Macaca fascicularis: one gene and its partners. The protein of the gene in region 1 interacts with the protein of each later gene in a biochemical or structural test. Links are inferred from orthologs where the notes say so. Each region holds a gene or a part of one and is shown on either strand. Other genes may lie near its edges.

Region 1 (10,832 bases):
GGTCTCGAACTCCCAACCTCTGGTGATCCGCCCGCCTGGGCCTCCCAAAGTGCTGGGATTACAGGTGTGAGCCACCGTGCCCAGCCTTTTTAAATGTTTTTAATAATCTCTGCTGTTCTATGTATGTTTACTTAACACTGAACACAAGGATATTAAATACAAATACTACCTTTCTCCAGACTTCCCAGCAGTCACTAGAAGCCCAGGACCACGTGCCTTTTGGCTGCTTCCAGTAAATGGAAAAACAAAACCGGTGGGGCGGGGTGGTTCATGCCTATAATCCCAGCACTTTGGGATGCCAAGGAGGGCAGATCACCTGAGGTCGGGAGTTTGAGACCAGCCTGGCCAACATGGTGAAACCCATCTCTACCAAAAATACAAAAAAATTAGCCAGGCATGGTGGCACATGCCTGTAATCCCAGCTACTCGGGAGGCTGAGGCAGGAGAATCACTTGAGCTTGGGAGGCGGAGGTTGCAGTGAGCTGAGATCATGCCATTACTCTCCAACCTGGGGGACAGAGTGAGGCTTCGTCTCAAAAAAAAAAAAAAAAAAAAGGGAAATACACTTACAGTCCTTGTTTCTCTAACTGGTCATGTAGTGGTAGTTGATAACTAGCTTCTTTTTTTTTTTTTTTTTTGAGATGGAGTCTCACTCTGTCACTTAGGTTGGAGTGCAGTAGAGTGCAGGTGATTCACCTATCTCGGCCTCCCAAAGTGCTGGGATTACAGGCGTGAGCCACCATGCACAGCCATTTAAAAAATATTTTTAGTAGAGACGGGGTTTCATCATGTTGGCCAGGCTGGTCTCAAACTCCTGACATCAGGTGATCCTCCCGCCTCAGCTTCCTAAAGTGTTGGGAATATAGGCTTGTAATCCCAGCACTTTGGGAGACCGAAGTGGATGGATCACAAGGATGGGAGTTCAAGACAAGCCTGGCCAACGTGGTGAAACTCCATGTCTACTAAAAATACAAAAATTAGCCAGGCGTGGTGGCGGGCTCCTGTAGTCACAGCTACTGGGGAGGCTGAGGCAGGAAAATCACTTGAATCCGGGAGGCGGAGCTTGCAGTGAGTCGAGATTGCGCCATTGCACTCCAGCCTGGGCAGCAGAGAGACTCCATCTCAAAAAAAAAAAAAAAAAAAAAAAATCCTTTATAATAAACTAGTGAACATTTTTCCCTGAATTCTGTGAGCCACTCTAGCAAATTCATTGAACATAAAGAGAGAATTGTAGAAACCCCAACTTATACCTAGTTAGTCATAAGTACAGGTAAAACAACCTGAGGCTTGTGGTTGGCATCCAAAGTGAGGGGCAGTCTTGTGGGACTAAGCCGTCAACCTGTGGGATCTGATGCTCTCTCCAGGTAGATAGTGTCAGAGTCGAATTGGAAGACTCCCGGCTGATGGCTGCTGCAGAACTATTGCTTGCTTGGTAGTGGAGTAAAATCCCCACACATGTGGTCGCAGAAGTCTCCTGTGTTGATTGCTGTGGTGTGAGGGCAGAGGAAAAATTGGGTCTTTTTTTTTTTTTTTTTTAGACAGATTCTTGCTGTGTTGCCCAGGCTGGAGTGCAGTGGCGTGATCTCAGCTCACTGCAACACTCCCAGGTTTAAGCAATTCTTGTGCCTCACTCAGCCTCCTGAGTAGCTGGGACTACAGGTACCTGCCACCACAACTGGCCTTTTTTTTTTTTTTTCGAGATGGAGTCTAGCTCTGTCACCCAGGCTGGAGTGCAGTAGTGCGATCTCGATTCCCTGCAACCTCCACCTCCCGGGTTCAAGCGATTCTCCTGCCTCAGCCTCCCAAGTAGCTGGGATTACAGGCTCCTGCCACCACACCCAGCTAATTTTTGTATTTTTAGTAGAGTGGGGTTTCACTGTGTTGGCCATGCTGGTCTCGAACTCCTGACCTCGTGATCCGCCTGCCTCAGCCTTCCAAAGTGCTGGGATTACAAGCATGAGCCACCACGCCTGGCCAGAACTGGCTAATTTTTTGTATTTTAGTAGTGATGGGTTTCACCATGTTGCCCAGGGTGGTCTTGAACTCCTGAGCTCAGGCAATCCACTCTCCTGGGGCTCCTGAAGTGCTAGGATTACAGGCGTGAGCCACTGTACCCGGCCCGTTTTTTGTTTTTATTGAGACAGGGTGTCACTCTCATGTCGGAGCTGGAGTGCAGTGGCACAATCATGGCTCACCACAGCCTTGACCTCTGGGCTCTGCTGATTCTCCTGCCTCAGCCTTCCAAGTAGCTTGGACTAGAGGCCAAGTGTATGCTTGGACTAGAGGCATACACTACCATACCCGGCTAATTTTTTGTGTGTTTTTTGTAGAGACGGGGTTTCACCATGTTGCCCAGGCTGATCTTAAACTCCTGGGATCAAGTGATACAGCTGCCTTGGCCTCCCAAAGTGCTGGGGTTACAGGCATGAGCCGCCAAGCCCAGCCATGGTTTGTTTTCTCTACACGGTATGCTTTAAACGGAAAATAGCATTTAGAATGCATTCAGGAAGAATATCTATTGTTCGTGTAGGAAAAGTGCTAATGGAGGCATGCAGAGGCATGCAGACAATGTCATCAAGTCCTGGAGTGCTTTCCAGGCCTCTCTTCTGCCTTCTGCAATGTTAGGCTTCAATGTCAAGCTGCTTCCTTCAGTAGCACTAGAAGCAGCAACGAGGGCTGCATGCTTCCCTGCTCACTTCCAGAAATCCCTTCCTCCATACCATGCCCTATACCTCTTTTCATCTATATCCTTTGAAATACACTTTATGATAAACCAGTAAACGTTAAGTGCTTCCTTGAGCTGCCCAGCATTCTGAGCAAGAAAAGTGATTCCCACTAGCTGGTCCACTGAAGTCACATGCTTATATCCCTGATCCAATAACCAGAATCTGGAATAAAACCTGTTGATTAGTGTAAGTCAATTGGGACTCATTTCTGGACCTGGAATGGAGTCAGTTTCCTTCTCAAACCCTCAAAACTCTACGTGCTTTCAGAACTGGGAATAGGCCGGGCGCGGTGGCTCAAGCCTGTAATCCCAGCACTCTGGGAGGCCGAGGCGGGCGGATCACGAGGTCAGGAGATCGAGACCATCCTGGCTAACACGGTGAAACCCCGTCTCTACTAAAAAAATACAAAAAACTAGCTGGGCAAGGTGGCGGGCGCCTGTAGTCCCAGCTATTCGGGAGGCTGAGGCAGGAGAATGGCGTAAACCCGGGAGGCGGAGCTTGCAGTGAGCTGAGATCCGGCCACTGCACTCCAGCCCAGGCTACAGAGCGAGACTCCGTCTCAAAAAAAAAAAAAGAAAAAAAAAAAAAAGAACTGGGAATAAGGCTGGGCGCAGTGGCTCATGCCTGTAATCCAAGCACTTTGGGAGGCCAAGGTGGGCGGATCACCTGAGGTCAGAGTTTGAGACCAGCCTGACCAATGGGATGAAATCCCGTCTCTACTAAAAATACAAAAATCAGCTGGCGTGGTCACATGCGCCTGTAATCCCAGCTACTGGGGAGGCTGAGACAGGAGAATCGCTTGAACCCGGGAGGAGGAGGTTGTGGTGAGCCGATATGGCGCTATTGCACTCCAGCCTGGGCAACACAGCAAAACTTCGTCTCAAAAAACAAAAACAAACAAACAAACAAAAAAAGAAGTGGTATTTAATTAGGTCTTCATCAACCTAGGGATTTGGGGTTGTCAGCAACAGAAACTACTACAGAAACCGACTACTTAGACTGGAGAGACAGGTGGTCCCCTAAGGGAAAATAAGAGTGTTAGGAGAAAGGAGAAGAGTGCTGGACAGTACATACTTAACAAGTATCCACTGGTTATTTCATAGAAGACCCAGAAATGTATTTATTTACAGTAATGTATTCATTACCCAGTAATGAAATCTGAGGGTTAGGAAGAGCAGAAAAGAAGGGAGTGTGGCAGGAAGGAGGAAAAATCAAAGTGGGCCCAAACAACATGGCAGCTAACAGAGATCTTGCAAGGAAAGGTCTACTCGTGGAAAACTCCTCCCAGGAATGTCAGAACTTTTAATAACGACATAGTAATGACACAAGAATAAACACACAGCCAAATGAGCAAACAACAGAATACAAAGTCTAGACATAGACACAAGTAAATATGCTAACATTATATATCAAGGGCAGCATTTAAATTCTATTGGGGCAGTTTGTTTAACAAATGGTGTTGACATAACTGGCTCTCCATCGCGCAGAAGTTAGACCCCAGCTCATACATGTATAAGGATAAACTCCAGTTATATTAAAGATTTAATTTTTTTTATAAAAAGAAGAAGGCCAGGCGCGGTGGCTCACGCCTGTAATACCAGCATTTGGGGAAGCCCAGGCGGGTGGATCACCTGAGGACAGGAGTTCGAGACCAGATTGGCCAACATAGTGAAAACCCGTCTCTACCAAAAATACAAAAATTCCGGGCGCCTGTAATCCCAGCCACTCGGGTGGCTGAGGCACGAGAATCGCTTGAAACCGGGAGGCAGAGGTTGCAGCAAGCCGAGATAGCACCACTATACTCCAGCCTGGGCGACAGAGAGAGACTCTGTCTCAAAAAAGGAAAGGGGAGGGGAGGGGAGGGGAGGGGAGGGGAGGGGAGGAGAGGGGAGGGGAGGAGAGGGGAGGGGAGGGAAGGGGAGGGGAGGGGAGGGGAGAAGAGAAGGGGAGGGGAGGAGAGGGGAGGAGAGGGGAGGGGAGGGGAGGGGAGGGGAGGGGAGAAGAGAAGGGGAGGGGAGGGGAGGGAGGGGAGAAGAGGAGGGGAGGGGAGGGGAGGGAGGGGAGAAGAGAAGGGGAGGGGAGGAGAGGGGAGGGGAGGGGAGAAGAGGAGGGGAGGGGAGAAGAGGAGGGGAGGGGAGAAGAGGAGGGGAGGGGAGAAGAGGAGGGGAGGGGAGGGGAGGGGAGGGGAGGGGAGGGGAGGGGAGGGGAGGGGAAGGGAAGGGAAGTAAAGAAAAGAAAAAGGAAGATAATTCACTGGGGGAATGTGGGGAAACCTTCCTAAGCTGGAAGCCAAGCGTGCCTCTTCCGTTGGGTTCCCATTACTTACGTCACAGGACATCGAGCCAATGGGAACTAGGCATGGGCGACGAGCTCACCCAATGGGGCCGGGGCGGGAGATTTGAAAGGTCCTCGGCCAGGGCGTGGCGTGGCAGATTCAGTTGTTTGCGGGCGGCCGGGAGAGTAGCAGTACCTTGGACCTCAGGTGAGCTGGCCTCCTGTCGCAGGCCTTGCGCCAGGAGTGGGCAGATGATCAGGCAGATCAGAGGGTCCGTTGGGCTGGCCTGCGCGCACACTGCAGGGCTGGAAGGAGGTAGGGATGATAGCAGGGTGGGGGCGGTGAGACAAGCGCCCGGATTGGAGCTAGTGTGCTGACCTGCTCCCTTTTACCAGCTCGGGCTAGCGCTTCCGGCTTGATCGGTCCAACCCCTACCTCTCTCTCTCTCTTTTTCTCTGCTTCTCACGGCTGTTTCCCTTCTCGGCCCAGCTCTCCTCCCCCTTTCCCTCTAAGGATGGCCCAGAAGGAGAACGCCTACCCCTGGCCCTACGGCCGGCAGACGGTAAGGCCCTTCCCTCCTTCCCCGCGCCCACATGACCCCGCATGGCGAGTTCCTGCTGGGAAACTTGAGATCGTGCAAAGAGCAATCCCTTATGCACTTTCTTTCCCGTTATGCTCCAAAGTACGCGCCCCAAGTTTGATGACAGAACCTGGTCTGGGCATTTGTAGCCAGCCACATCCTGTTAGGTGCTGCCAACTTGAATCTGACCAGCCAGTGACTACCAGCCGGTGAGGGCCTCTGCAGGGTTCATCACACACAAGTGATATCTGGGACTGAGCAGGCAGGGCCTGGCCTTCAGGCCATGATTCCCAACCCATGTCCTGAAAAAAATAAACTAGACAGCAAATATAAATAGACTCTAAAAGGATATAAAGTTACTGTTTAAAAGGTCCAGGAAAAGTCTAAATTATAATTTGGAATTAATGAGTAAGTTGAGGTAAGGATCTCAATGAATCTAAATGGATTTATTTCCCAGTTGTCCAGACAGATTTCATTGAGGGGCCTCCTCTCTGATTTGAAATGCCACCTTTATTATATATATAAATTCCCACATATATGTGGGTCTATTTCTGGACTGTATTTTATTCAACTTGCTTATTTGTAGATCTGTACCAATATCACTATTTGGGAAGAGGTTTTTAGGGGCATAGGGGCTCTCTTCTCTTGGCTGAAGAAGAAGGAAGGGGCCCTGCATAGGCTTTGCTCCCTGTTTGTGGAGCTCGGGCTTCCTGGAGAATCTGCCTGTCCCCTTGTTCATCAGCTCCCTCCCTCACGGAGCAATGAGTGAGGCTGTCAGGAATGGAGTCTGAATGAGAAACCATTGTCACTTTTACCTTGGTCACTCCTAAAAGAAAGTGTATCTATTATTTTGAGAAGCTGAAAGTGAGGCCAGGTGCAGTGGCTCATACCTGTAATCGTGGGAGGCTGAGGCAGGTGGATCACCTGAGGTCAGGAGTTCAAGACCAGCCTGGCCAACATGGTGAAACCCTGTCTCTACTAAAAATACAAAAATTAGCCAGGCATGGTGGCGGACGCCTGTAATCCCAGCTACTCAGGAGGCTGAGGCAGAAGAATTGCCTGAACCTGGGAGGTGGAGGTTGCAGTGAGCCGAGATGGCGCCATTGCACTCCAGCCTGGGTAATAGAGCAAGACTCCATCTCAGAAGAAAAAAAAGAAGGTGAAAGTGAGAAGTGGTCCAGGGCCATCAGAGTAGCTCTTAGTGTCCTTAAAGGCTGTTCTTGCAAAGGTGTAACCCCTGGTTATTGCTATAACATTCAAGGCCTCAAGCTTCTTATCTAAGCCTTAATAAACTAAGCTTTTTGGGAGACTTTGAGAATACCTCTGTCTAAACCCCTTGAATTGTGGGTGTTCACAGTAGACACCCAGCTCTCTACTGTGGTGTAGGTGAGAGGCTAGATGAATGGCTGTGGTGTTATGGACAGGACTTATACAAGTTGAACAGCTTCATGCCTGAAAAGTGTGGGCCAGGGCCAAAGAGGTGAAATGTTAGGTGTTGGTGTGAGTCTTTTGCCCCTTATCTTAGGCCTACTTAGGTTATTTTTTAATTTTTTAATTTTTATTTTTTAGAGACAGAGTCTCACTCTGTCGCCCAGGCTGGAGTGCAGTGGCGCAATCTCAACTCACTGCAACCTCTGCCGCCCGGGCTCAAGCAATTCTCCTGCCTCAGCCTCTCAAGTAGCTGGGATTACAGGACCCGCACCCAGCTAATTTTTTTTTTTTTTTTTGAGACGAAGTCTAGCTCTGTCGCCCAGGCTAGAGTGCAATGGCACAATCTCGGCCCACTGCAACCTCTGCCTCCTAGGTTCAAGCGATTCTCCTGCCTCAGCCTCCTGAGTAGGTGGGATTACAGGCACTCGCCACCACGCCCAGCTAATTTTTGTATTTTTAGTAGAGTGGGGTTTCACTGTGTTGGCCATGCTGGTCTCGAACTCCTGACCTCGTGATCCGCCTGCCTCAGCCTTCCAAAGTGCTGGGATTACAAGCGTGACCCACCACACCCAGCCGCACTGGGCTAATTTTTTGTATTTTTAGTAGAGACGGGGTTTCACCATGTTGGCCAGGCTGGTCTTGAACTCCTGACTGCGTGAGCCACTGCGCCCGGCCCTAGGTTGTTTATGAATAACCCATTTTAACATGGGACTGTGAGCAGAGGCTGGGAGGCAAAACTGTCACATCAGTGTTTCTCTTTGAATTGGGGGTGGGCGGGTGGGTGGCTCTTTAGCAAGGGGCTGAAATACTGCTTGCAGCACATTCCACCCGGGTCATCAGACAAAGGCACCCTCAGAGCTACCCCCTGCTCCTTCTCAGGCTCCGTCTGGCCTGAGCACCCTGCCCCAGCGAGTCCTCCGGAAAGAGCCTGTCACCCCATCTGCACTTGTCCTCATGAGCCGCTCCAATGTCCAGCCCACAGGTACCTGGGGCAAGGGGGAGAGGACTGATGAGCGTCTATGGGAGGGTTTAGGGATGAGAAGGTCATCCCTGCTCTCATTCAACTTACCTGTTGTCTCCTTAGCTGCCCCTGGCCAGAAGGTGGTGGAGAACAGCAGTGGGACACCCAACATCTTAATGTAAGTGCCCCAAGCCTTGGGGTGGAGGGAGGTGAGGGGACAGTGAATGGGCAGGAAGTCGGGAAGATAAAACCTAAGGGCAGGAGGAGTAGAGATGAAGAGAAGTGGGGCGGGGGACAGGATGAGATGAGGAAGCGGAGAGAAAGCAAACCTCTTAATAACCAAAACCGGTTCTGAGTTGCCTTCCCCCACTTTCTAAGCAGGCGGCACTTCACAATTGATGACTTTGAGATTGGGCGTCCTCTGGGCAAAGGCAAGTTTGGAAACGTGTACTTGGCTCGGGAGAAGAAAAGCCATTTCATCGTGGCGCTCAAGGTCCTCTTCAAGTCCCAGATAGAGAAGGAGGGCGTGGAGCATCAGCTGCGCAGAGAGATCGAAATCCAGGCCCACCTGCAGTATGGGTTGATGCCCCCTGAGCCGAAGCCCCTCTGCTCCCTCACCCCAGCTCCTCACTCAGCCCTACCTCATCCAGATTGCGTTCTCTGTAGCTACGGCTAGTGAGCCCCATTTAGCCCTTAGTCCTGGCCAGAGCCTTGAATCCAGAAATCTGCCTCCAGTTTCCCCTTCCCACTCCCATTCCTGGTGTCCCCAGCCTGGGCCCCGTCTGACCCCAGTTTGCTCCTATTATCTTTCCCAGCTCTTTTATGCCTTTGGCCTGAGGCTTCCTCTGTCTCTTCCCTCAGCCATCCCAACATCCTGCGTCTTTACAACTATTTTTACGACCGGAGGAGGATCTACTTGATTCTAGAGTATGCGCCCCGCGGGGAGCTCTACAAGGAGCTGCAGAAGAGCCGCACATTTGACGAGCAGCGAACAGCCACGGTCCGGGCGGGTGGGCACCTGGGCCGCCAGTAGGGGGCTGGAGGCTGAGGGTGTGCTGCTTGTAGCTGGAGGTCCATCCTTGTCTGATTGCCTGTCGTTGCCCCTCCCAGATCATGGAGGAGTTGGCAGATGCTCTGATGTACTGCCACGGGAAGAAGGTGATTCACAGAGACATAAAGCCAGAGAATCTGCTCTTAGGGCTCAAGGGAGAGCTGAAGATTGCTGACTTTGGCTGGTCTGTGCATGCGCCCTCCCTGAGGTATGGTGGCCTGGGAGGCCAGCCCTGGGTGTGAGGCGGGGCCATTAAAACCTCTCCAGGGGCTGGGCGTGCTGGCTCACGCCTGTAATACCCGCACTTTGGGAGGCTGAGGCGGGCGGATCACCTGAGGTCAGGAGTTCGAAACTAGCTTTGCCAACATGCTGAAACCTTGTCTCTACTAAATATACAAAAATTAGCCGGGCATGGTGGCGGACACCAGTAATCCCAGCTACTCGGGAGGCTGAGGCGGGAGAATTGTTTGAACCTGGGAGGCGGAGGTTGCAGTGAGCCAAGATTGCGCCATTGCACTCCAGCCTGGACGGCAGAGTGAGACTCCTCTAAAAAAAAACAAACAAAATGGTTAGAATGTGGTGCTAAGAACCCCAAGGTCATGGGTTTGATCCCCGTATGAGCCAATGGTAAAACTTTAGCCAGGTGCGGTGGCTCACGCCTGCTAATCCCAGCACTTTGGGAGGCCAAGGCAGGTGGATCACTTGAGGCCAGGAGTTCAAGGCTAGCGGACTAGCCTGGCCAACATGGCGAAACCCCATCGTTACTAAAAATACAAAATGTATTAAGCAGACATGGAGGTGCACACTTGCAATCCCAGCTGTGCGGGAGGCTGAGACACGAGAATCACTTGAATCCGGGAGGCAAAGGTTGCAGTGAGCCAAGATCGCCCCCTTGCACTCCAGCCTGGACTCTGTCTCAAAAAAGCCCGGAGCAGTGGCCTTTTTTCCTCCCACATCATTTTTTAACGGTTTCATAGTATCACATAGTAGCTGATTTATTTAAGCAGAACATGCCTGATGGGCATTAGAGATGTCCCCAGTGAACTCCAAAATGAACTCCAAATGAACACTGCCCTCATAGCGGAGTATCTCATTAAGACATATCCTTCAGCGTGGAGTTGCTGGGGCTGTGTGCAGGCTTACCTCTGGGGCTTTCAGATATGTCATCACCCCAACCCCACCCCCACTCCAGTAACCCTGCCTGGCTGGACCTCTCCCCTGGTACCTCCCGTGGTCTTTTGGCTCCCTGCCATCAGGTAGCAGGGAAAGGAGAGTTCCTATGTCACTGGGACCCCTGCCCACGCCCCTTATCCCTCCCAGGAGGAAGACAATGTGTGGCACCCTGGACTACCTGCCCCCAGAGATGATTGAGGGGCGCACACACAACGAGAAGGTGGATCTGTGGTGCATTGGAGTGCTTTGCTATGAGTTGCTGGTGGGAAACCCACCATTTGAGAGCGCATCACACAACGAGACCTATCGGCGCATCGTCAAGGTGGGAGGGCGGCCTGGGCTTCGTGCCAGCTGCAGAGGCCAGGGGCTGGGGGGCTGGGGGTGGGCAGAGTGTATCCGCGTGGCCCTAAGTAACTCCAGACAGAATGGGTAGTCAAGGAAGATGTAGCCAGGGTGAAAGTAATGCAGCCCTTCCATCTCTTCACACCTGCAGGTGGACCTAAAGTTCCCCGCTTCTGTGCCCACGGGAGCCCAGGACCTCATCTCTAAACTGCTCAGGCATAACCCCTCGGAACGGCTGCCCCTGGCCCAGGTCTCAGCCCACCCCTGGGTCCGGGCCAACTCTCGGAGGGTGC
Region 2 (10,847 bases), on another chromosome or scaffold:
TAGTATTTAATTGTGTATATATACTACATTTTCTTTATCCATTCATTCATCGATGGATTATTAGATTGCTTCCATGTTTTGACTACTAAACTACTATGAATAATGCTGAAATAAACACTGGAGTGCAGATATCTCTTTAACATACTGATTTCAATTCCTTTGAATATATACCCAGAGCGGGGAAAAGGATCTGAACAGACATTTCTCAAAAGAAGAGATACAAATCGCCAATAAATATATTTAAAAATGTTGAAAATCTCTAATCATCAAGGGAAATGCGAATTAAAACCACGGTGAAATATTACCTCACAGCTGTCAGAATGGCTATTATAGAAAGGATGAATAACAGGTATTGATGTGGATGTGGAGAATGTTGGTGGCAATGTAAATTGGTGTACTCACTATGGAAAGAAGTATTGTTTTTGAATATTTGTTGAAAATCACTTGCCCATATATGTTGTGGGTCTGCTTATGGACTCTATTCTGTTTCATTGATCAATACTACACTGTCTTGAATATTGTAGCTTTACAGTAAAAATTGAAATCAGGTAGTATTATCCCCCTAATGCTCTTTTTAAAAGTTGTTTTGGCTATTTTAGTCCATTTCCATATGAACTTTAGAATCAGCTTGTTGATTTCTACAGAAAAAGCCAGCTAGGACTTTGATCGGGGTTGTGCTGTAACTATAGATCAATTAGGAGTGAATTGACATCTTAATGATATCAATTCTTCTGCCCTATGAATACAGTATATCTCTACATTTATTCAAGCCTAAAGTTTTCAGGACAGGTCTTGCACCTCTTTAGTCAGATTTATCTCTAACTTCTAAAGCAAGACCCTTCTGTGTATGCTACCCAAAGCCCTGTGAGGGTTTTTTAAAAAATAGATTCCATTCAATAATAGGTTCCATTCAATAATTGATGAGATAAGTGTTTTGAAGAAACGCAAATTTACCAGAGAGACAAAATGTATCCTAAATAGTTTTCAATTTGTTATTTAATCAGAGTTAATGCAGTTGAAATCTTTTAGTTTCACATTAGGCACACAGCAAGCTTGCAAATGCTTTTAGACTGATTAGAGATCAGCTACCAGCTCTGTGCACTTTGGGGGTGTGCGTGTGTGTGTGTGTGTGTGTGTTTGTATGTATGTTATGTGTGTGCCCACATCTGCCTGTATGGTCTGTTAGTTAATTTTTATAATTGTATAATTAATTGGTGCTGTCAAATATTTGGGGCATGGTAGGCAGAATTCTAAGATGGTCCCAAGATTCTTGTCTCCTGTTATACATTCTCCACTTCGGTGTGGTTGAGACCTGTGAATATGCTGGGCTATCACTCTTGTGATTAGGTTATATTATGTGGCAAAGATGAAGAGATTTTGCAGATGTAATCAAGGCACACAGTTAATTTTTGAATTAATCAAAAGGGTGATAATCTTGGGAGGGCCTGACTTAATCTGGTAAAAGACCTTAAAAGAGGCACTAGACCCCTCCTGAGAAGAAAGAAGTTTTTCTGTTGGCCTTGGCTAAGCAGAACAACCATGTTGTCAACTGCTAATGGAGAGGGGCTGCCTCTAAAGCCAGTAAATGCTACGGGTCTTAATTCTGTAACTGCAAGGAACTGAATTTGGCCAACAATCTGAATGAGTTTGGAAGAAGATTCTGAGCTCCACATGAGGACACAGCCCAGCCAAAAGCTTGATTGCAGCCTTGTGAGACCCTGAGCAGTGCACCCAGCTAAACCATACCTGGACTCCTGACACATGGAAACAGATAATTAATGTGTGTGTTTTTAGCAACGAACAATAACGAAGTCAGCGGATACTCTAGCTGGCATTTGAAATGCTCCCCATTGTATTCATTTGCTAGACCTGCCATAACAAAGTGTAACCCCATGGACTGGGTAACTTAAACAACATAAATTTATTTCCTTGTAATTCTAGAAGATCAAGGTGTTGGTAGGTTTGGTTTCTTCTGAAGCGCCTCCTTGTCTTGCAAATGGCTGCCTTCTCACTGCATCCTCACATGGTCTTTCCTCTGTGTGCATATATGTCTAAGTCCTAAACTCTTCTTAAAAGGACAGCAGTCATATTGGATTCGGGCCCATCTTAGAGACATCACTTTAACTGAATTACCTCTTTAAAGACCTTTTCTCCAAATACAACTTACTCTCCCATAGGTTATCTTATTTGAAACCCTAAACAATGCTGTGGGGCATATCAGACCAGTATTATTTTACTCCCCACTGGAAATTTGGGAAAACACTCTCAGAGCACTAACTTAATGTCACATAGCACATAAATTGTCTTCTGACTCCAAGTCTAGTGCTCTATCCAGTAGATTAAGTATTCAGATAAAGCACCTGAACCCAAACAAACAGCAATGGACTTCTATTGGATAAGTATATTTGTAATATCTTACTGCCAGTTCTTTTTTTTTCTTCTCCTTCTCCTTCTCCTTCTCCTTCTTCTTCTTCTTTTTTAACTGAGAATCTGTGCAAGTTACTGGTAGTTCAAATGCAGATCCTGTAGTTGCCCCCATCTCAACAACCTTGCTATAAGGGTTTTCTCTTTGTGTAGATAAGGCCTGCTTGGCCACACTGGATTGTCCCATTTTTACTGGCCTTTCTGTGGGAGAAACTTATTATAAACTAACCCCACTTGAACCTTTTAATGGCAGGATAAAGCAGTGACTCGAGTGTACACCAGCTCAGTTTGTACTTTTTTTTTTTAAACTTATGTGCCAGGTTTTTGATACATGCTAAAAGTGATTGCTTGAAATATATCACCTCAGTCAGATTGTAAACTTCTGTAAAAGGTGCTTTCTACCTAATGAGCATTTAGTGTGTAAGGTAGCTGTACAATAATTATTGAATAAGCATAGTGGAGAAGCCAATGGATGCATTCCTGTTAACAAAGGGGAATTGGGTTCAATACACTTGCAGGTAAAAGGTAATAATGCAAATTCTATGTATATTTGGAGTTCTTTGAATATTTGGTAAAGTCCAACAATGTGGTATTATCTTTAGTTCTAGCAAGTTTTTGAGTAGCTGATTATTCTCAAATTTACCTAAAACCTTCTACTAGAATTTCAGTGTATGTAAGTTGAAATACAAAGTCAGCAATGTTGAAGATCTCAGATCCCAGAGGGAGAAATCCTAGAAAACATAAAGATTCCACACTCACCGCATCACTTCCTTAAAAAAAAACCAAAAAACAGCCAAAGAAAAAAATCACAACAGTGATTAAACTGGTTGCTAAGAGCAAACTCCCTTTATTTTCCCAAGGAGGAGTCTGGAATTATAAGTAGAAAGGCAAGGAAGGGCAAAGGAAGAGGTGTAAGAAGGTGGCCCCAGGCTGTAACCGTCAAGAAGGCAAAGAATGAATAGAAGACAAGCAAGGGGAAAAACAGGCTTGACGGGGGTTTTTGTTGGGGGCTAGGCTGATAGAACAGAATCAAGATTCTGACTTAGAAGAGCAGTCCCACCAGAGTTGGGAAGCAGGTCGCATAGTTAAGAGCCTGGGTGCCAGAATCACACCGCTTGGGATCCTGAGTCCCGCTCTGTCACTATTTACGTAACCTCTGGCAACTTGCTTAACCTATACACCTCAGTTTTGTCACTTGTAAAATGGAGACAATAGTGTGTAACTTACAGAGTAGCTGTGAATTAGGTAAGTTGAAGCTTCAGTACTTGGTTCATAGCAGACGCTCAGTAAAATGTTAAATGGTTATTTGTAGTTTTTATCCTTCCTCTTTCTTAATGTTGTGTACTGCAGCAGGGAGGGGGAGGGATGAAGCGCTTATCCCACTAGAAGAGTGGTATTTGTGTGAGAGCCTGGGTCAGGCTTATTTTGAGACGTGGGCCCCACTGAGGTGAGGTGGCACTGCTTCCAGAGCACACCCTTTGCCGGGGCCCTGCCGTGACTATGAGGAGGCCGAGGCCACGGCTGGCAGAATGCACGGGTGGACCTCCTTGGAGTGGCTAACCCAGGGCGGCTGCACTGTTGTCCTTGGATACTTGACACTTTTCACTTTCTCTGCCTCCCGGCACTAGAAGCCATGTGGGCTCACACCCGACCCTCCCGGGTTCGGAGGCGTGAGGGCCACTTAGCGGTCATTCAGCTTCAGGGTCCAGCCCTGTCAAGCTTTGGCTACAGCCCGGGAGTTCCGTTGGGACCCCACACACTGTCCTAGCCACAGCTCCCCGCCACCCTGCCTCCCGCGCAGGCGCCGCCGGGGCCACCCCCGCCGCCATGTTTCCCCCGCCCGCGCGCTCCCTCCCCCCACTGCCCCCTCCCTCCCCAACTGGGTTCCCGCCCCCCCTCCCTCAGCAGTCCCCCCCACACCCTGGTGAGGTCAGGCGGAGGCTCTGCCGCTGCGGCCGCAGTAGCTCAGCTCCTATTCCCGGGAAGCCTGGAACGGGGAGTTTTGAAAATAACTGGAGCGGCATTCGGGTTAGGGTCCGTGCTCTCCGCTTGCGCCAGGACAGGGTGAAGTGGCCGGGACTAGCAGAGGGTGCGAAGGTGCGGGTGCTGGTGCCTCGCAGCAGGAGGGAGCCCCGGCTGCGCCGCGAGACTCCCTCTTTGGCCCTCGGAGCGCAGCACCCGGCGGACAAGCGGCGCGACGCCAGGACGCGGCGAGCAAGGTGAGGCAGGGTCCCGAAGTCACAGGGGCTCCATCAGCCGCTTCCCTGCCTCCGGACCTGGCGCTGCGCGGTGCGCGGCGAGGAGTTGCGATCTGTACCAGGGGCAGAGGAGTAGAGGAGCAGGGAACCAGCTTCGTTTTGCCCGCCGCCCCCTCTTTTTCTCCCGCGTGCTGGTGCGCGCCCTCATCCTTACACCTTCGCATCCCGTTCTCCCGGTCCTTCTGGCTCCGTCGGACGCCTGGGTTTTTCTAGGACCCCAGAAGCCGGCTTTCCTGTGCTTCTTTGTCATCTCTCCAAGATTTTCTTCTCTGGGCCTCGCTGTTGCTGCCCTGACGGTCTGGGGTCCCTCTGCCCGCCCCGGCCCCACTGTCTCTTGCCCTCTAACAGTTTCTGCTTTGTGCCTCCTAATCCATCTCTTCCTTCAGAAGCTTCTTACTTAGGAGGCTCCTCTCCTGGCTCCCAAGTCAGGAGCACACTCCTCTTCTTCCTCGAAGCTTTTAACTTCGCTCTGAATGTCTTCAGCTCTGAATATTTTGACTTTTTTTTTTTGTTTGCTTGTTTAATCACAGTTGACTAATGATTTTCGTGGAGGCTTATAGTCTAGGCTACAGTTTACTGAAAGTGATGAGATCATCCCTTCACTAAATAGCCTTAGTAAATATCAACTAGGGAACTTTAAAGTTTCTTTCTAGGTTTCATTAACTTAGCCCAAGAACAATAGTCACTTAAAATGTATGTATATATGTTTGTACGCAATTTTCGTACATGGTCCTAAATCTGATTATTCCCTGGCTGCTGAACAGGCCTGAGAGAGAGGATTGGTGGGGCTTGTGATGCCTGGCTCCATTTCTCTAATTGTAAACTGGGATGTTCATCGTTTTAATGTAGTCAGAGGACTTTAGTGGTTTGGGATAAAGTCGTTCAAGTTAGCATAGGCTGGCAACTAAGCACATTGAATGGAGACTAAGAAACGCTGGAATTTAAAACTGTCTCTGGAGAGCACCTGCTTTTTAAAAAATTTATTATTTTTTTGAAGCCACAGTTTCTTAACAGTAGATTTCATATTTGTATAAACCGTCTAAAAGCAGCGTATTTTAAAACCACGTAGTTACAAAAAAGACTACTCACTCTTAGGGATATCACTTTCTCCCCATGTAGTTGTGGTGTTAGCTCCCATACTGAGGTTCATTTGCTCACTTCCATACTGCAATTAGTGTGTGAAGAAAACTGAATGGAGAAGCACACAGTGGAGGCAAATACCAGTGAACAAGCACATGCTGACATATGCAGCTGTGTTTTTGGAAATAGGCTGTATCTAGTGTTCAAATTTAAAAACTGAGAAAAATGAAATAATTCAGCATTTATGACATCATTTTACATCTAAAAATATTAGCTCCCTTAACTGCAAGTTCTTATTAATAGCCTCATACTTAACGGTAAAAGAGTTGTTTGCCTGATGTGTGACCTAGTGTTGCCATTGACACAGTGTGCACTAATTGGCAGCAATCTCAGAAGAAACCAGGTTGTGAATGAAGATAATGGCTAAATTTCACTGTCCCGGTGGCACTTCTTATGGCAGTGAGATGAGAGTAGTTTCTGCTGCAACATCAAATGATGTATTTAAAAAACAGATAAATAAGAGCTTCAATTATTAAAAAGCCCAAGGTTTTTAATTTGCCATTTTTATAAACACACTTCAAAAAGTGTCGTGTGATTATATAAGGCTTAGTTGATGTTCTGAAGAAAGTAGTTTTCACAAGAAAAGTAAAGCCTATTGCTTATCCATTTAGTTAGATAACTTGCAGATGATTTGTAGTTTCCCAATTGATTTGGTAAATTCCTGGGTTTACTTGAGGTTTATTAAAAAATGGAATGTAGTAGGGAAAGGGTACTTATTCTAATAGGCCCACCTTTCTAAATCTGTAATTTTCTTAGCAAACCATTCTCAAAAGACATAAAAACTTACAACTTTTTCAAGGAAAAGAGTTTATACTATTTTCTTACTTTTTTCTTTTCATGATTGTTATTGATACAAAATCTAAGCTAAGATTGCTAGTAATGTGATTGCATAGTAAGACTGTATTTGCCAGGAAAAGAATAAAGGTGGATGTGAATTAGCCATAAACATTTTGCTCTGAATCTTCAATATGACTCAATATGTGTTTGATAGTCCATCTGGTACACCTAGAGATTATCAGACTGGATATTTCTGTTATTACTAAATGTAACTGCACTTATTTATTGGATTATCTTCTTTCTCATTTTATTTACATTTCACATTCTCTTCATGTAATTTGACTTGCGGTAGTGAAATGAGACTGACCAATTTTCAAATTGTTTGATTTTTATTGATGTTTGGTAAGCCACTAAAACCTCTTGAAAATATTTTTTTCTTAAATCCACTGATTGAAACCGATGTATTTTTATTGCTATGAAATAATACAACAAATTTCCAGGAATTATTTCAGAAAATGTGGAAAGACTGTAGAGAAATGAATAGCCCTAGAGAAAATATCTCAAAATTATAAGAACGGCTTTCTCAAGTTACTGATATTCATAACAATCAGTTTTTTTTGTATCATTCATTCATTTACTAATTCATTTTACAAAATCTATTTGGTACTTGTGTGCCAAGGCCCTGTATTAGGCACAATGATAAACCTCATAAAGCATGATCTTTGCTCTTGTGGAGTATCACAGTGCTTATATTCTACCAGAGAATATAGACAATAAACAAGCAAACAAATGAAGAAGATCCTTATAGACTGTAGTAACAGCAATGACAATAAGTAGGGGAATATGATACAGATAACTAGGAAGGGCCTATTTTAGTGTCGGAAGTCAGGAAAGGCCTCTCAGAGAAGATGATTGAGCAGAGACCTGAAAGAGAAGAGAGAATAGGCCTACCTTGTCAGAATCTGGGAGAACATTCCCCAGATAACATTCTTGCAGAGAGAAGAGTAAGAGCCAAGGCCTTGAGGGGGGAAAAAGAGACTTGGCGTTTTTGAAGAGCAGAAAGCAAGTCAGCATGACTGGATCCTCGTGAGCTGGTAGTGATTAAAGAAGATGTTACAGAGCCTAGAAGCAGCTCAATAACAGATAAATAGGACTTGGAGGTCCTGAGAAAGAATTTGGGTTTGATTCTTAGAACAATAGGAAGCCACTGAAGAGTCTTTCCTGGGGAAGGTCATTGGCTTAAAAAAATTATCCAAGGAAATTAAAAAAAAGTTTTGCAGAGGATAAATAGAATGTCTACTCACTCAGTCATTTATATTAATACCTGAGAATAAAAAAAAACTGTATGATCAATATGCTAAATAATCATGTAATCCAGTTCCTCTACTCTGTTTTGGTAAGGGGATGGGGGAATGGGAACACTGAGGTGAGTATGTTAAAAGGCAGTTTACTTTCCACTGTCACATTGTGACTTGTGCTACAAGGTAAGTTGTCACCAACTTTATTAAAAATCAGATCATTGTTCAACTTCAGAATTTATTTTTCAAAGAATGATGTCTTATTTTCTCATGGAAATATGTTTCCTTTGGAAGGTTGGACATTTTATTTGTGTGTAAAGGAATAACCTAGGTTTTAGAAAGGGCCTTTGGAATTTTAAGAAGGGCTTATCATTTTCTTTTACCTGTTGCCTCTCCAACATTTTCAAATGGCCATACTTTTATTCCTTGAGAGATTAGGGCTACTGTGTTTCCTGAAGCTTCAATGAATTTATTGCCCTAAGCCCTTCCTTGAAAGCAATCCAGCTTTGAGGTCTAGTTGGTCCCAAATAGGAATGCAGATGATTATTGACATTCCACAGGAGTAAATCCTAATATTGTGGGGGAATAACATGCAAAATAACCTTGATCAGTGCCTGCAGGGTCAACTTCCTCCTTAACTGAGCCACTCAAGCAAGGATCCTCCATGATTTGATCCCAGCCTACTTTCCCATATGTCCTTATTATTCTCTTTCACAAATCTCTATTGGTTTAAACTGATTTTCCCCAGTTTGGAACTTTTGTGCTTAGCATTATTCCTGGCATAGAGTAGGTGCACAGTAGGTGCTTGTCAAATGGATGCCATGTCTTTCTTTTTTGTCATTTGGAATCCCAGGTCCTATTACACTATTCCTCATTGAACTAGATCTCCCCATCTGAAGGTGAACAGCACTTGCCCTGTTGTGTCATAATTATGCTTATTTTGGTGCCTGACCATCTCCCCACTTGCCTCTGGCTTCATGAAGGCCACCTAGACCTTATCTGGTTCGCTCACTGTTGTATTCTGAGCACCCAGCACATGGTATGCACTTTATAAATAGTTATTGAATAATGAATAAATGCTGTCTTGTGATGTTTCTCCTATTAATTTTTTGATATACTTTTCATGTGTTTGTCTGGTGTTCTGAAGTGGTTTCTGAGAGAGGTTGTAGAGCATACTTGTTCAGAGTTCAAGCTCTGGAACTAGGCCACCTAGGTTTCAATTCCAGCTAGGAGACTTAATAGTTGTGGGACACTGGGTGAGTTAGTAAACCTCTCTGTACCTCAGTTATCTTATATGTAAAAAAGGGATAATAGAACTTGCCTCTTATGGTACTTGCTAAGATTACATGAATTAGCTAGGCCCACTTTTTCTTTTTCTTTCTTTCTTTCTTTCTTTTTTTTTTTTTTTGTTGTTGAGACGGAGTCTGGCTCTGTTGCCCAGGCTGGAGTGCAGTGGCATGATCCCGGCTCACTGCAACCTCTGCCTCCCGGGTTCAAGCGATTCTCCTACCTCAGCCTCCCGAGTAGCTGGGACTGCAGGTGCGTGCCACCACACCAGGCTAATTTTTTGTATTTTTAGTAGAGACGGGGTTTCACCATGTTAGTGATGATGATCTCGATCTCCTGACCTCGTGATCCACCCGCCTCGGCCTCCCAAAGTGTTGAGATTACAGGCGTGAGCCACTGCTCCTGGCCTAACTTTTTATTTTTAGTAGAGACGGGTTTCACCGTGTTGGCGAGGCTGGTCTCAAACTCTTGACCTCAGGTGGTCCACCCATCTTGGGCTCCCAAAGTGCTGGGATTGCAGGCGTGAGCCACCTCCCCTGGCCTAGGCCCACAATTTGTTTGCAATTTTTAAATTTCAAAAGCTCTGAAAACTGATAAAAATGTTATTTGGTAACTTAGATGCCAAAACTCATGTGGTGGCAAAACCTGACTTAAACTGGCATAGGGTATTTATAGTCTTTATTCTACTTAATGTTGATCTTTATTTTGTTTTGCTATAGAATTGCTAATATGTTTATGGGGTTGCACCATAGACCCTAATGGTGTATTACATAACATATGGTATATGAAGTTTATTTCCTGTCTAAAGCTTTGGACATTCCTAAATTCAGAAACACATCTGGCACCAAGATTTTAAAATGAGATTGTACACCTTGCAGTAAACTGCTTAAATCAGGGCCTTGCACATAGTATGTTGTTGCTGTGGGTGGTGATTAGGGAGGTAAATAAACTACTTTATCTTTCCACAATAGCTTGCTCATAATAGTTACCATGTAAATATGTACTGATTGACTCATGCAGTAACTCTGTGAATAGAGGACTCGCTGAATGGTCCTCATGTCATAGGGAAATAGATATGGCAGGGTCATGTAATTGAAATGAGCCAAGACTCGTCTGTTGGTACTCTCATCTCATACCATTCAGAGCACTTTACTTTTTGTTTTTCTGTTGTTATTTAAACCAAACTATGCTTCTTTAGCACAAGAGAGTCTGTGGGGGCGAGGGTAAGAAATTCAGTTAAGAATTTATTTAATGTGATTAGACACTTATTTTTTTTTTTGTAGTTGTTGAACATTTGTTGAACTGCTAATGTGTATAGAAATCTGTATTAAAAGCAAGAGAAAGCCGGGCATGGTGGCTCACGCCTGTAATCCCAGCACTTTGGGAGGCCAAGGTGGGTGGATCATGAGATCAGGAGATCGAGACCATCCTGGCCAACATGCTGAAACCTTGTCTCTACTAAAAATACAAAAATGAGCTGGGTGTGGTGGCATGTGCCTGTAATCCCAGCTACTCGGGAGGCTGAGGCAGGAGAATCGCTTGAGCCAGGGAGTCAGAGGTTGCAGTGAGCCAAGATCGTGCCACTGCACTCCAGCCTGGTGACAGGGTGAGACTCAATTTCAACAACAACAACAACAACAACAACAACAAAAAAAAAAGCAAG
Region 3 (10,727 bases), on another chromosome or scaffold:
TACAAATCTGATATAAATATAATTATTATTGACCACACCCAACCTGATAGATGTATGACAAAGCTGAAGTTTTAGAGAGTTAAGCTTACCCCACGATCTTTCAGCAATTGTTTATAATCAGTTGAGCTGGGGATGGCACATTGATTTTAATTCTCTTTATGGTACATTTATGTAGTTTAAAAATGTCCTGTAGGAGTTTACTGCCTTACAGTGAGAACAAAATAACTTTGATTACAAAAATCTGAACATGAGTGAAATGTGTTTGCATTGCAGGCCAACTACATAAATATTACTTCTAGCAATTGGGAAAGAAATTTAAGTCTGGATTTATCTGAGTAAAAATGGAATCTGTTTTTCTAAATACATGTGCATTTGATAATTAGAAAAAAAACACCTTACAATTTTTTTTTTTTTTTTTTTTTTTTGAGAGGGAGTCTGGCTCTGTCGCCCAGGCTGGAGTGCAGTGGCCGGATCTCAGCTCACTGCAAGCTCCGCCTCCCGGGTTTACGCCATTCTCCTGCCTCAGCCTCCGGAGTAGCTGGGACTACAGGCGCCCGCCACCTCGCCGGGCTAGTTTTTTTTTTTGTATTTTTTAGTAGAGATGGGGTTTCACCGTGTTAGCCAGGATGGTCTTGATCTCCTGACCTCGTGATCCGCCCGTCTCAGCCTCCCAAAGTGCTGGGATTACAGGCTTGAGCCACTGCGCCCGGCCACCTTACAATTTTTTTATACAGCTTTTAAAAAATAAGATAAAGTCATAATAGGAGTCTGTGTCTTTGGAAGGTGGATTTGTTTTCATTATCCAGCTTTTAGCCTAAGGTCTGGCATATTTGAAAAATATTTGACAAATGCCTGCACATATGTATGTGTATATATATATATAATATACTCAGTATTAATAGAAATTATCTTCAGCATGTGGAATCACTGATAATTACTTTTTGTTTGCTTTTATTTTCCTGTACTTTCTATAACAGACATACCAAAAAAGCTAGCAAATGTTAATTTTTGAATACTTACCAGAAAAACTAAAACAAGAAATGTTAAGAGTGCTTTATGTGCTTTTAGTTTTTATCCTCTAAATATTTTTCCAGTCTGAACTTTCTTTAAAAAATTACCAGCTTATGAAAATAAATCTCTACTTAATCATTTCAACCACCTAAAATTTCTCTCTATAACGAACTCCAGGTTTAATGAGCAGTACAAGTTGAATATCCCTTATCTGAAATGCTTGGGACTAGAAGTGTTTTGGATTTTGGAATATTTGCATGTACATGATGTATCCTGGGGGAGGGACCCAAGTCTAAACAATATTACTTAAAACTTCAGTTATATATCACATATGTTTTATACACATAGTCTGAAGGTAATTATATATAATATGCTTAATAATGTTGTGCATGAAACAAAGAAGTCTTCACTGTGTTTTGAGTATAACCTGTCACATGAGGTCTGGTGTGGAATTTTCTACTTGTGGCAGGCATCCTGTTAGCCCTCAAAAAGTTTTAAATTTTGGAGCATTTTGGATTTTTGGATTAGGGCTGCTCAACCTGTATTAGCATAGCATTAGTCAGCTACCTGCATGATACCAAGAGAACTGTCAACTGCAGAATATGGGAAAGTAAACGAATGAGAGGCAGGGTGTGTGAAGCTGGAGGTGGGGGATATAGATAGAGCAGTTTACCTGGTAAAGCAATACTTATTTCAATAGGAAGCACCAGGGTCAGACATAAGACGTAATAAAAAGTATTTTGTTTCAATAAAAGGAAAAGCTTGTACAAAATAGAAGCAGGGCAGTACCACTTTGGTAGGTCAGAATAAGCACTGAAATACTACATTAAAAATAAACCATATCAAATTTATCCCCTAACCCCATCTCTACTAAAAATACAACATTAGCCGGGCGTGGTGGTACATGCCTGTAATCCCAGCTACTCGGGAGGCTGAGGCAGGAGAACCACCTGAACATGGGAGGCAGAGGTTTCAGTGAGCACAGGTCGTGCCACTGCACTCCAAACTGGACAACAGAGTGAGACCCTGTCTCAAAAAAAAAAAAAAAGAAAAAGACAAATTTGATCTCAAAAATTAACAGCGTTGCCATTGTAAAACTACAATAGATTGAGGGAAGAAATAAATGCAAGCAAATGCAAGTTAAATTACATTTATTATATAAAGAGATCCTATAACTTGATACGAAAAACAAAGCAACTCCAACAGGTAACAGAAGGGCAAAAGGACAGGAATATTTGATCAAAGAAACACAGCTATCCATAATACACAAATATTCAACCTCATTAATAATCAAGAAAGGATTAGGATGCACTTCTTGCTTATTCAATAAAGTTAATTTCTAATTTCTATATTTTTCAAATGTACTCAAATGTGCTATTTTTAGTAATAAAAAACTGAGTCATTAAAAAAAAATATAAAATATGAACATTTCTGCCAATGCAGAAATCATAAAAAGCATTAAAATGAATCAACACTTGTATGGGCAGTAAGGTTCAGACCCCTAGAAGCCAATTCATTTTGCCTTGGTTCCTGAGTTTTATTATGGGATTGTCAATAAAGTTGTTCCTGATTTACACTCTGACAATCTTCCAGGTATAGGGGTGTTTGTGTGTGTGTGTACATACACATATGTATATATAAAATTTTTTTCTTCAGGTAGACAATTATTCCAGACAAGTACCTCTTCAGAATCATTACAGAGAATTCCTGTAACTCCATTTGCTGATAAAAGTCCCATTAAAAACTATCATGTGGTTCTCAACCAGTAGGGATACCCTTGGTATTGAAGAGGCTGGAGGTTGCTATTAGTACTGCTCATAAGACCATAATGTTCCAGAGGCTCTGTAGCTGGCTTCTTAGGGAATCTGAAGTTGGTCCTGTCCTTGAGACATGGCCAAAAGCACATTTTTCCTCACTTGATGCAGAAGAAAATGTATCTCCTGCTTGCTCAGATCATAGCCTTGAGGCAGCTCACACAGCTCAGGATGCACATGGACTGGAACAGCACCAGGGCAATCACCCCAAATCGCAAATGACTAAGTTGGGAGGCTGAACTTAAAACTCTATAGCTTTGTTCAGAATATTTTTTTCTTTGCTTTTTTCATTAAGTTTTACTGACCAAAAAAGGTGGAAAAAAGAACCTAAATTTTCTGCACAAAAACAATTCTCTGAAACCTGAACTTTACCAATCTGTGTAAAAGTACTCTACAGAAACTATACAAGTAGAAAAAACTAACGTAAGCTTCATATGAAGTAATGGTTTTGTCACATGACAAATTTGGTTGTTGATTTAGTATGCTGTAGCCCTCATCTAAATTCAGTATGACTATATAAACATTTATTCTCTGGTATTGAATTCCCATTTGAATAGAAACGGCTGCTTTGTGGAAGAAAGAAACTTCAATTTAAAAACAATTTCAGCATCGTTGAAGTGCCAATTTTTAAATTATGTGTGTGTATACATATGTATGTATGTGCGTAGGGATGTATGTTTGTATTGTGTATTTTTTTCTCCTTTCTCCCTCTCTTGCTCACTCTAGAGAGAGATACCAAATACTGGTTTGGTGCTATACTGTTTTTTCCTAATTAGTATTTTTATTATTTCTGTCTGCGTAAGAAACTTCAAATATTCTGAATGCAACCACACAATCGAGTAAGTTGACAGACATATCAAAAACTATGAAAAGAGGGAGGTAACTAGTATTAATACTGGGCAACCTTTCGTTAATTTTAGGTTACAGTGACCTCCCTCTGACATTTTGGAGTCAAAGATGAAAACTCGACTTTGAAGCATAATGGACATAATTACACATTTACCACAGTCATCTACAATTTTATATAACATCACAAAAAGACATCTAAACATTTTTCTACATCTTTTTTTCTCATTTGTTAAAACAGCTAGCTATGTTAAATACATCTTCAGAATGCATTTGTTAGTCACTTGATAAACATACTAAAAGCCAAACAAGACGAATAACATCAATTACCTTTATATCTAATAACTGTACCAATCACTGTAAGAAGATACAACTGAAGAAGTATTAGATCACCCATGATGTACTGCAAAGGTGTTACACCTTAGACCTAAGAATGATCTGAAGGTGCTGAAAGAGGTGATTCTCTAGAAGGTGACCCAGGGTTTTCTTCAGGTGGAAAAACTGTGAGTGTACAAGCTCGAATGCCACCAAGTGACTCTGGAAGATCAAAAACTTTATGCCACTCATCTTTTTCTGGGTCATATTTCTGGACAATTTCTACCATACAACGATTATTCCAAGAATATCCACCAACAACGTAGATTTTATTTTCAAAGACGGCAACTCCAACATCACTTTGGCCTCTTAACATGGCGGCAATTGGGGTCCACTGGTCAAGGGTTGGTGAATAGTATTCACAGCTTAGAACATCATCATAATCACTTGTTCCTCTGAAGTGATTGCCGCCAATGACATAGAGCTTATCTCCAACCGTACACATGCAATGCAGACCTCTGACTGTAGTCATTGGAGCCTTTTGCATCCACTTATCTGTATCTGGGTCAAAACACATAAGCTCATTTTGGAAAGTGTCATGGGTAATTCCTCCTGAAATATACATTAAGCCTCCATATACTGTTCCAGCATGGCCATAGTGGGGTTCACTCATTTTTGCAACATAGCTCCACTCATTCATTCTTGGGTTGTAACATTCTACTGTGGCCAGTTCACCAGCTGCACTGCGCCCACCAACTGCATACAAATGTCCTTTGAGGGCACTCAAGTGAAAGAATGTACGCTTTTCATTTAATGATGCAACCTGCATCCATTTATTATACCGAGGATCAAATCTGAAAACTGTATCAACAGCAGTTTTTCCTTTTGTATCATAATTACTTTGACCACCAACTACATAAAGAAAGTTTCCAATGACAGCAATACCATGCTGGTAACGGGGAGCATCCATCGGGGCTAAAGATCTCCATTCTTGTGCCCTTTCATCATACATTCGTAATTCTTTACTGACAACCAGCTGCTGCCTCAAAACTCCTCCTAATGTAACCAAGTGAGTGGAGTCAGATCGAATGGCAGTTCTATCTGACTGCATCACTGGCTGCATATATGGCATCATTTGGTAATTGCTGGCTTCCAAAAGCAAATTCACGCAGGTATTGTCTGTTCTCATGAAATCTACTGTCTGCACGTAATTGATGAGATCCTGTGGTGTCATCAGTGGGAATCGAATATTCTTCATTAATTTTGCAGCATAATCCATCCGAGGGTCTTCCAACCTTAGCCAGCGACAGGCTGCCTTAAAGAGTTCGAGTTCGGTACAGTGCTTAAGACTATTACTGGAAAGCACAAAGGCAAGCCGTTCAAAAGGGAGTTTTAGAAACTCCCCAGTACTCAATAAAGCAGGAAAGTTCTTCAGGATGAAGTTATTAACATATTTATCCACTTCTATGAGATTGTAGGTGTTAGCAATTCGTCCAACCTCAACACAGTTATCTAAAGAGACTCCTGATATAAGAAATACTTTACAGAAATCCAAAACGGGTAATATTTGTAAAAAACTAGCAGCTTCAAGTGTGTCCTGAAGATTGTCCATATTAAGAGAAAGTTTTGCAGTATAAATAAAATCAATGATTTTCTTCAGACCAACCTTGTTCACCCCATGAAGCTTAATGCACATCAGATCTTGTTCTTTCATTCCACCTGTGAACATAGCTTTGAAATAATCACTAGCAGACGCCATCATAGCTCTGTGAACAGGGAAGATTTCATCTCCATCACCTGGTACCAGAGTCACATCACAAAGCAATCCTTCTATTCTAAGCTGATCAAAGCCTTGCAGTACCACCGAACTGTGTGTATTGCTGGTAAAAAAGCGTGTGGTTCCTGCCTTACAAGGCTGCAAATGGGCAGAGACGCCCATTTCGCCGTTACCAAGGGACACTTTCATGTGAAAGCTTTCCTCTTGCACAGAGATGCAAGCCGGAGAAAGAAGTTATAACCGGAATGTTTTACAGGCAACGAGGTGTCCACAAAGAACAGAAAGCTCGTTTCCTTATCAAGGGAAGGCAGCCACTGCGGCACCCCTCAGGCCACGCCAGTCAGTCATCCACTGAAAATCGCCCTGTAGCAGGACCACAAAGGGCTGTGGACCTCAAATCTGATTATTAGACAGATGATTCATCACCTGAAGGCGGTTAAATGACCCGGTTCACCTCGTCCGGCCTGCGCTGCCGCTCCTTCAGCAGTTCCGCTTCGGGCAACGAAGAGGCGCCGCCACGTACTGTGGCTCCACGGCCCGCTCGGCGGCGGGTCCGGGAACCTCAGCGAACGGCCCGCTGCGCCCTCCGCTGTACCTAGAGTGTCGCAGCGGCCACCGACCTGTCTTTGAGCAAGGACCTGGAACACAGGCCTGGGACTGGGCTTGGGCCTAGAATACCGGCCTAGCCCCGACGCCGAGCCGCTCCTTCCGGAAAAGCTTACTCCCAGGATCCCGCGGGGTGGGAGCGGCCGTAGCGGCTACTGCGGCTGCGCGGCCTCCAGAGCTCGTCAGTGGGCGGGCGTGTGGGGGTGGGGAAGGGGGAGGAAGTGTGCGGGAGGCGGGGAGGGCGGGGGTTGAGGAAGACGAGCTGTCTGGAGTGGGCGCGAGCCCGGCTCCTTAGATCTGCCTTGTATGTGGGACAAAATAGAACAGAATGTGTGCACGTATATTATGCTGCATGTTTGATGTAAGTTTTTCACATATCTGAGCTCTTACGTTCCCCAAATGCATACATTTTTTAAAACTTTGCAATTCCTAGTTTCTGTTTTTTTGAATAACAGTGAAACGCGGCTTTTGTATAAATTGAGAGGAAACCTGGATGCTTAATTTTTTTTTTCCTCTACAAAACAATAATTGTTATCCCACATTATGTAATAGATACCTTAGTTACAATTTTGGTTCGTATTTTCAAATTTGTTATAATTTCAAAGGCAAAATATTTGTCTCTACTAGATTGTTACTTTATTATATAAATGATACAGTCTAAATTTTTGGCTTGAAATGCCTTTGTTTTCCATAATTTTAAAAATGGCTACATAATTTTTCAATAACATACTATAGTTTCCTTTGCCCATTGTTTGTTCCTGAATATGTACCTTCTTATCCTCCATTGTTTTATAGAAAAACAATGGAGTAGTAAATTTACAGAATCTGGTAGCAAAATTTTAGCCCTGTTATGGATAATATTTAGTAAAATGCTGATCCAAGACAGTATTTCCAAAATATTATCATGAGCAATGTTTGTGCCTTTCCCTTCTGCTGACTTTTCCCTTTTTAAGTATTTTATTAATTTACATTTCTTTAATTAGTGGTAAATTTAAATTTTGACATACAAATCAATGTATACTTTGACACAGTTTCTTCCATTTTCCAAATTTTGAAGTTTATGTCTTTTAAGTCCTTCTAGTTCTTTAAGCGTGTGCAAAGTAAGAATAGTCATGTTTTTATTACACTCTCCTCATTTTTATGTAAAAGATAGCATACCATGTACACTGTTCTGCATTTTTCTTTTTTCACTTCAAGATCTTCCTGAATTACTATAGAGAGCTTATTTATATTTTTAAACAATTCTATTGTTGCCCTCGGAGTTGTTATAAGTTATTTAACCAGTGCCCGATTGATGGACAGTTCATCTGTTTTGAATGTTTTCTATTGTTTCCGATGGATGGCAGCAAAATTCAGAAGGCTTAGACTACCACTGACCTCCACAAGGTGCTCCAGCAGATTGTCAACCTATTCAACACAAGAGGTTGGTTGGAATGAAACTGGCCTGGAGAAATTATTCACTGAAATTTTGTCAGCATTGGGAAGTCCTGGAGCCCTACTTGTTGCATGAGTTAGGGGTGGAAGGGCTCTCTTGGGGCATGACAACTCCATAATGCTGTGAAGAGCTACTTCCAAGGAATCAGTCTCTATCTGGAAAAGAAAGAATAGAGACTCTGTACCTGGGAAGTTGGAGCAAGAAATCATGAGATCCTTCTCTTTTTCATCAAACTTGCAAGTAAGATTAATAGCTTAGGAACAGACTTGTTCCTATACAGTAATAATAATGAAATTATTACTGTATAGAGACTCTTCATTGTATTCCCATATGTTTAGTTATTTTAAAAGACTGTCTTTTTTGCCTGCATAATGAAATGATTGAATCAAATTTGTCACAATACTTGTTGGTAATGTCTATATGATAAAGCATCCAGTCCTTAGGGGCATTAGCTCACCATGGATGATATTATTAATTTACCTATGTACTTAGTTATTGAGTCTACTACATTTATTGTATTCAGTATTTTTGCTTATATGAAATGTTCACCTTTAACACTGTGCTAATTACATTAAAAAGTGTTCCGTTTATATATTTTTGTTTGTTTGTTTGTTTTGTTTTGTTTTGATGGAGTCTCGCTCTGTCACCCAGGCTGGAGTACAGTCGTGCCATCTCGGCTCACTGCAACCTCCGCCTCCCAGGTTCAAGCAGTTCTCCTGCCTTAGCCTCCTGAGTAACTGGGACTACAGGTGTGCGCCACTGTGCCTGGCTAATTTTTTGTATTTTTAGTAAAGATGGAGTTTCACCATGCTGGCCAGGCTGCTCTCAAACTCCTCACCTCGTGATCCATCCGCCTCAGCCTCCCAAAGTGCTGGGATTTCAGGCGTGAGCCACCACGCCCAGCTCCTCACTTTATATTTTGAAAATTATTCTCTTTATTATTTCAAGTTTTACTTTCAGATCTTTTTGCATTTGTTTGTTAAACACACACACACACACACACACACACACACACACACAAGGTCTTGCTGTGTCACCTAAGCTGGAGTGCAGTGGCAGGATCATAGCTCACTACAGCCTCGAACTCCTAGCCTCAAGCAATCCTCCCATCTCAGCCTCCCACACTGCTGGGATTACTGGCATAAGCCACCATACCTGGCCTTACTCAATAAATCAATGCCAAGTTTGATTTTGCAGCCTCAAGTGAAGTTGAGTTCATTCATTCCATTCACACTGTATGGAACACTTGATATGTGACTGTTTTCAGGATAGAAAAGTGAATAAAGGAAACACAGCTTCAGCCCTCTTGAAACTTTTTGCCGAGAGAGAAAGAAAATTATTAATCAACCAATTAATTTCAACTGTATCATAAACTGACACCATAGGCAAAAGTAAAGTGGTTTTTATCACCAGAAACTGGAGGATTTTAAGCCTTGAAAATTGGATGCACAGTTCTGGAATTTACAGAGTGCATGGCTAGAGATGTTCATTTGGGAGCTGGGCTATACTTTTTTCCTGAAAGCCCAAGGATGGATGAGGTCTGGCAGAAATTGTGTAGTGAATCAGAAGACCAAAACCTGAATCTTGAGGACCTTTACATCTTAATGTAGTGAACAGAGTGAGGAACCTGAAAAGGGCATTTCAATGAAATGATAGGAGGACATCCAGGAGCAAAATAGGAGGACAACCAGGAGAAAATTGTGATAAGAGGGTGTTTAAGGGAAGAAACATGTTTAAAACATGACGTTTTACATTTAGGAAAAGAAAGGGGTGGTTTGCCAGAATTAATTTGTCAAAATCCAGATTGGAATATATTGACTAGAGTAAATAGGAGGAGAGGTTGGAGACAAAGTGGATGGAAACTTCTTTTAGAAGTTTATCTGTGAATGGAAGAAGAGAAAGAAGGTAGTACCTGGAGAAAAATGTGTGTTTGTATTATTGGATATAATTTTGTAACCTTTTTACAAACTAGGATTGACTTCAGGGAATGGATATAGTGGCACAAAGCATATAAAATTAATACTTTATTTAATCGGGTATATTGTCTAACTGCTTATTTAATAAGCTAAAATTTCAAGAATAATTGTTTAATAGTTTTTGAGTACTAGGGGGCTACAGTGTTTTTCCATTTGCTTCACTTGCTGTTCTTAATTCTATTTGGGTTTCATTTTATGGCATTAATTGTACTTTTTATTATTCTTATGAATTATGGTTTTATACACCCCTCTTAAAAGTATATATAAACCTTTTATGCAGATGTTAGCTATATTCCCTATGATGCAACTTTGTCAATTTTGTTTACACATAACTGTTATTTTCCTTTACATTTCTCCTATTGCCAGATGATTGAGACCATGCAAAACTTAAGGAAAATGAGTTTGAAATCCTACTTCTTTCCATCAAACAAATGGGCTCTCTTTATTAATGTGGATAAATAAAATCCAGATGCTCTTCAGAGAGGGTGTAGATGACTGCACAGAGAGCTCATTTATCACATTTTTCGTACACCAGGGATGCTAGTTCTGCAAAAATACTGAAACCTAAGTAAGACTAGACAAGGATGGCCATCGCAGTAAAGGCCATCTCTGACCAGATGGGGATACTTCTAGGGAAGTATATTCTGCTGCCATGCAGATAATGTCTGTAAACCACCACACTGTGAGTTTATTGATTCACTGGTTTCCTATTCTTTACTACCTAGTCATAAAACTCACTCATACTTTGGTAGCATTTTATAATTTTCTCTCTTAGCAGAGATGATATGAGGAGTGATCTGCAGATCAGAATTGGTAAGTGATGTCTTTAAGACATCCATTTAGTGAATGGTGAGGGGCAGAGATAGGATTCATAGCTGGTTCTGCCTGTATGTTCAGTGTTCTTTTCTCTGTGTTTAATGTATCTAAGTTAGACTTTGTTGTTTGTC

The links.
Region 2: of the proteins of AURKB (region 1) and KLHL13, one has a biochemical effect on the other in vitro, tested with the Homo sapiens proteins (2 studies listed by BioGRID and IntAct, with this or other methods). The link is inferred for Macaca fascicularis from reciprocal best matches to the Homo sapiens genes AURKB and KLHL13.
Region 3: the proteins of AURKB (region 1) and KLHL9 form a complex in vitro, tested with the Homo sapiens proteins (2 studies listed by BioGRID and IntAct, with this or other methods). The link is inferred for Macaca fascicularis from reciprocal best matches to the Homo sapiens genes AURKB and KLHL9.

What each region holds. Positions count from the first base shown.
Region 1 is NC_088390.1:8,285,521-8,296,352, reverse strand, and holds the start of AURKB (aurora kinase B), read left to right. Parts: upstream 1-5,162; 5' UTR 5,163-5,208; intron 5,209-5,490; 5' UTR 5,491-5,515; coding exon 5,516-5,563; intron 5,564-7,830; exon of another isoform or gene 7,831-7,891; coding exon 7,892-7,994; intron 7,995-8,096; coding exon 8,097-8,151; intron 8,152-8,351; coding exon 8,352-8,546; intron 8,547-8,834; coding exon 8,835-8,973; coding exon of another isoform or gene 8,974-8,983; intron 8,984-9,083; coding exon 9,084-9,232; intron 9,233-10,344; coding exon 10,345-10,519; intron 10,520-10,690; coding exon 10,691-10,832. UniProt on the Homo sapiens protein: Serine/threonine-protein kinase component of the chromosomal passenger complex (CPC), a complex that acts as a key regulator of mitosis.
Region 2 is NC_088395.1:124,445,856-124,456,702, reverse strand, and holds the start of KLHL13 (kelch-like protein 13), read left to right. Parts: upstream 1-4,350; 5' UTR 4,351-4,643; intron 4,644-10,847. UniProt on the Homo sapiens protein: Substrate-specific adapter of a BCR (BTB-CUL3-RBX1) E3 ubiquitin-protein ligase complex required for mitotic progression and cytokinesis.
Region 3 is NC_088389.1:77,606,493-77,617,219, reverse strand, and holds the start of KLHL9 (kelch-like protein 9), read right to left. Parts: upstream 6,498-10,727; 5' UTR 5,953-6,497; coding exon 4,099-5,952; 3' UTR 4,002-4,098; intron 2,038-4,001; exon of another isoform or gene 1-2,037.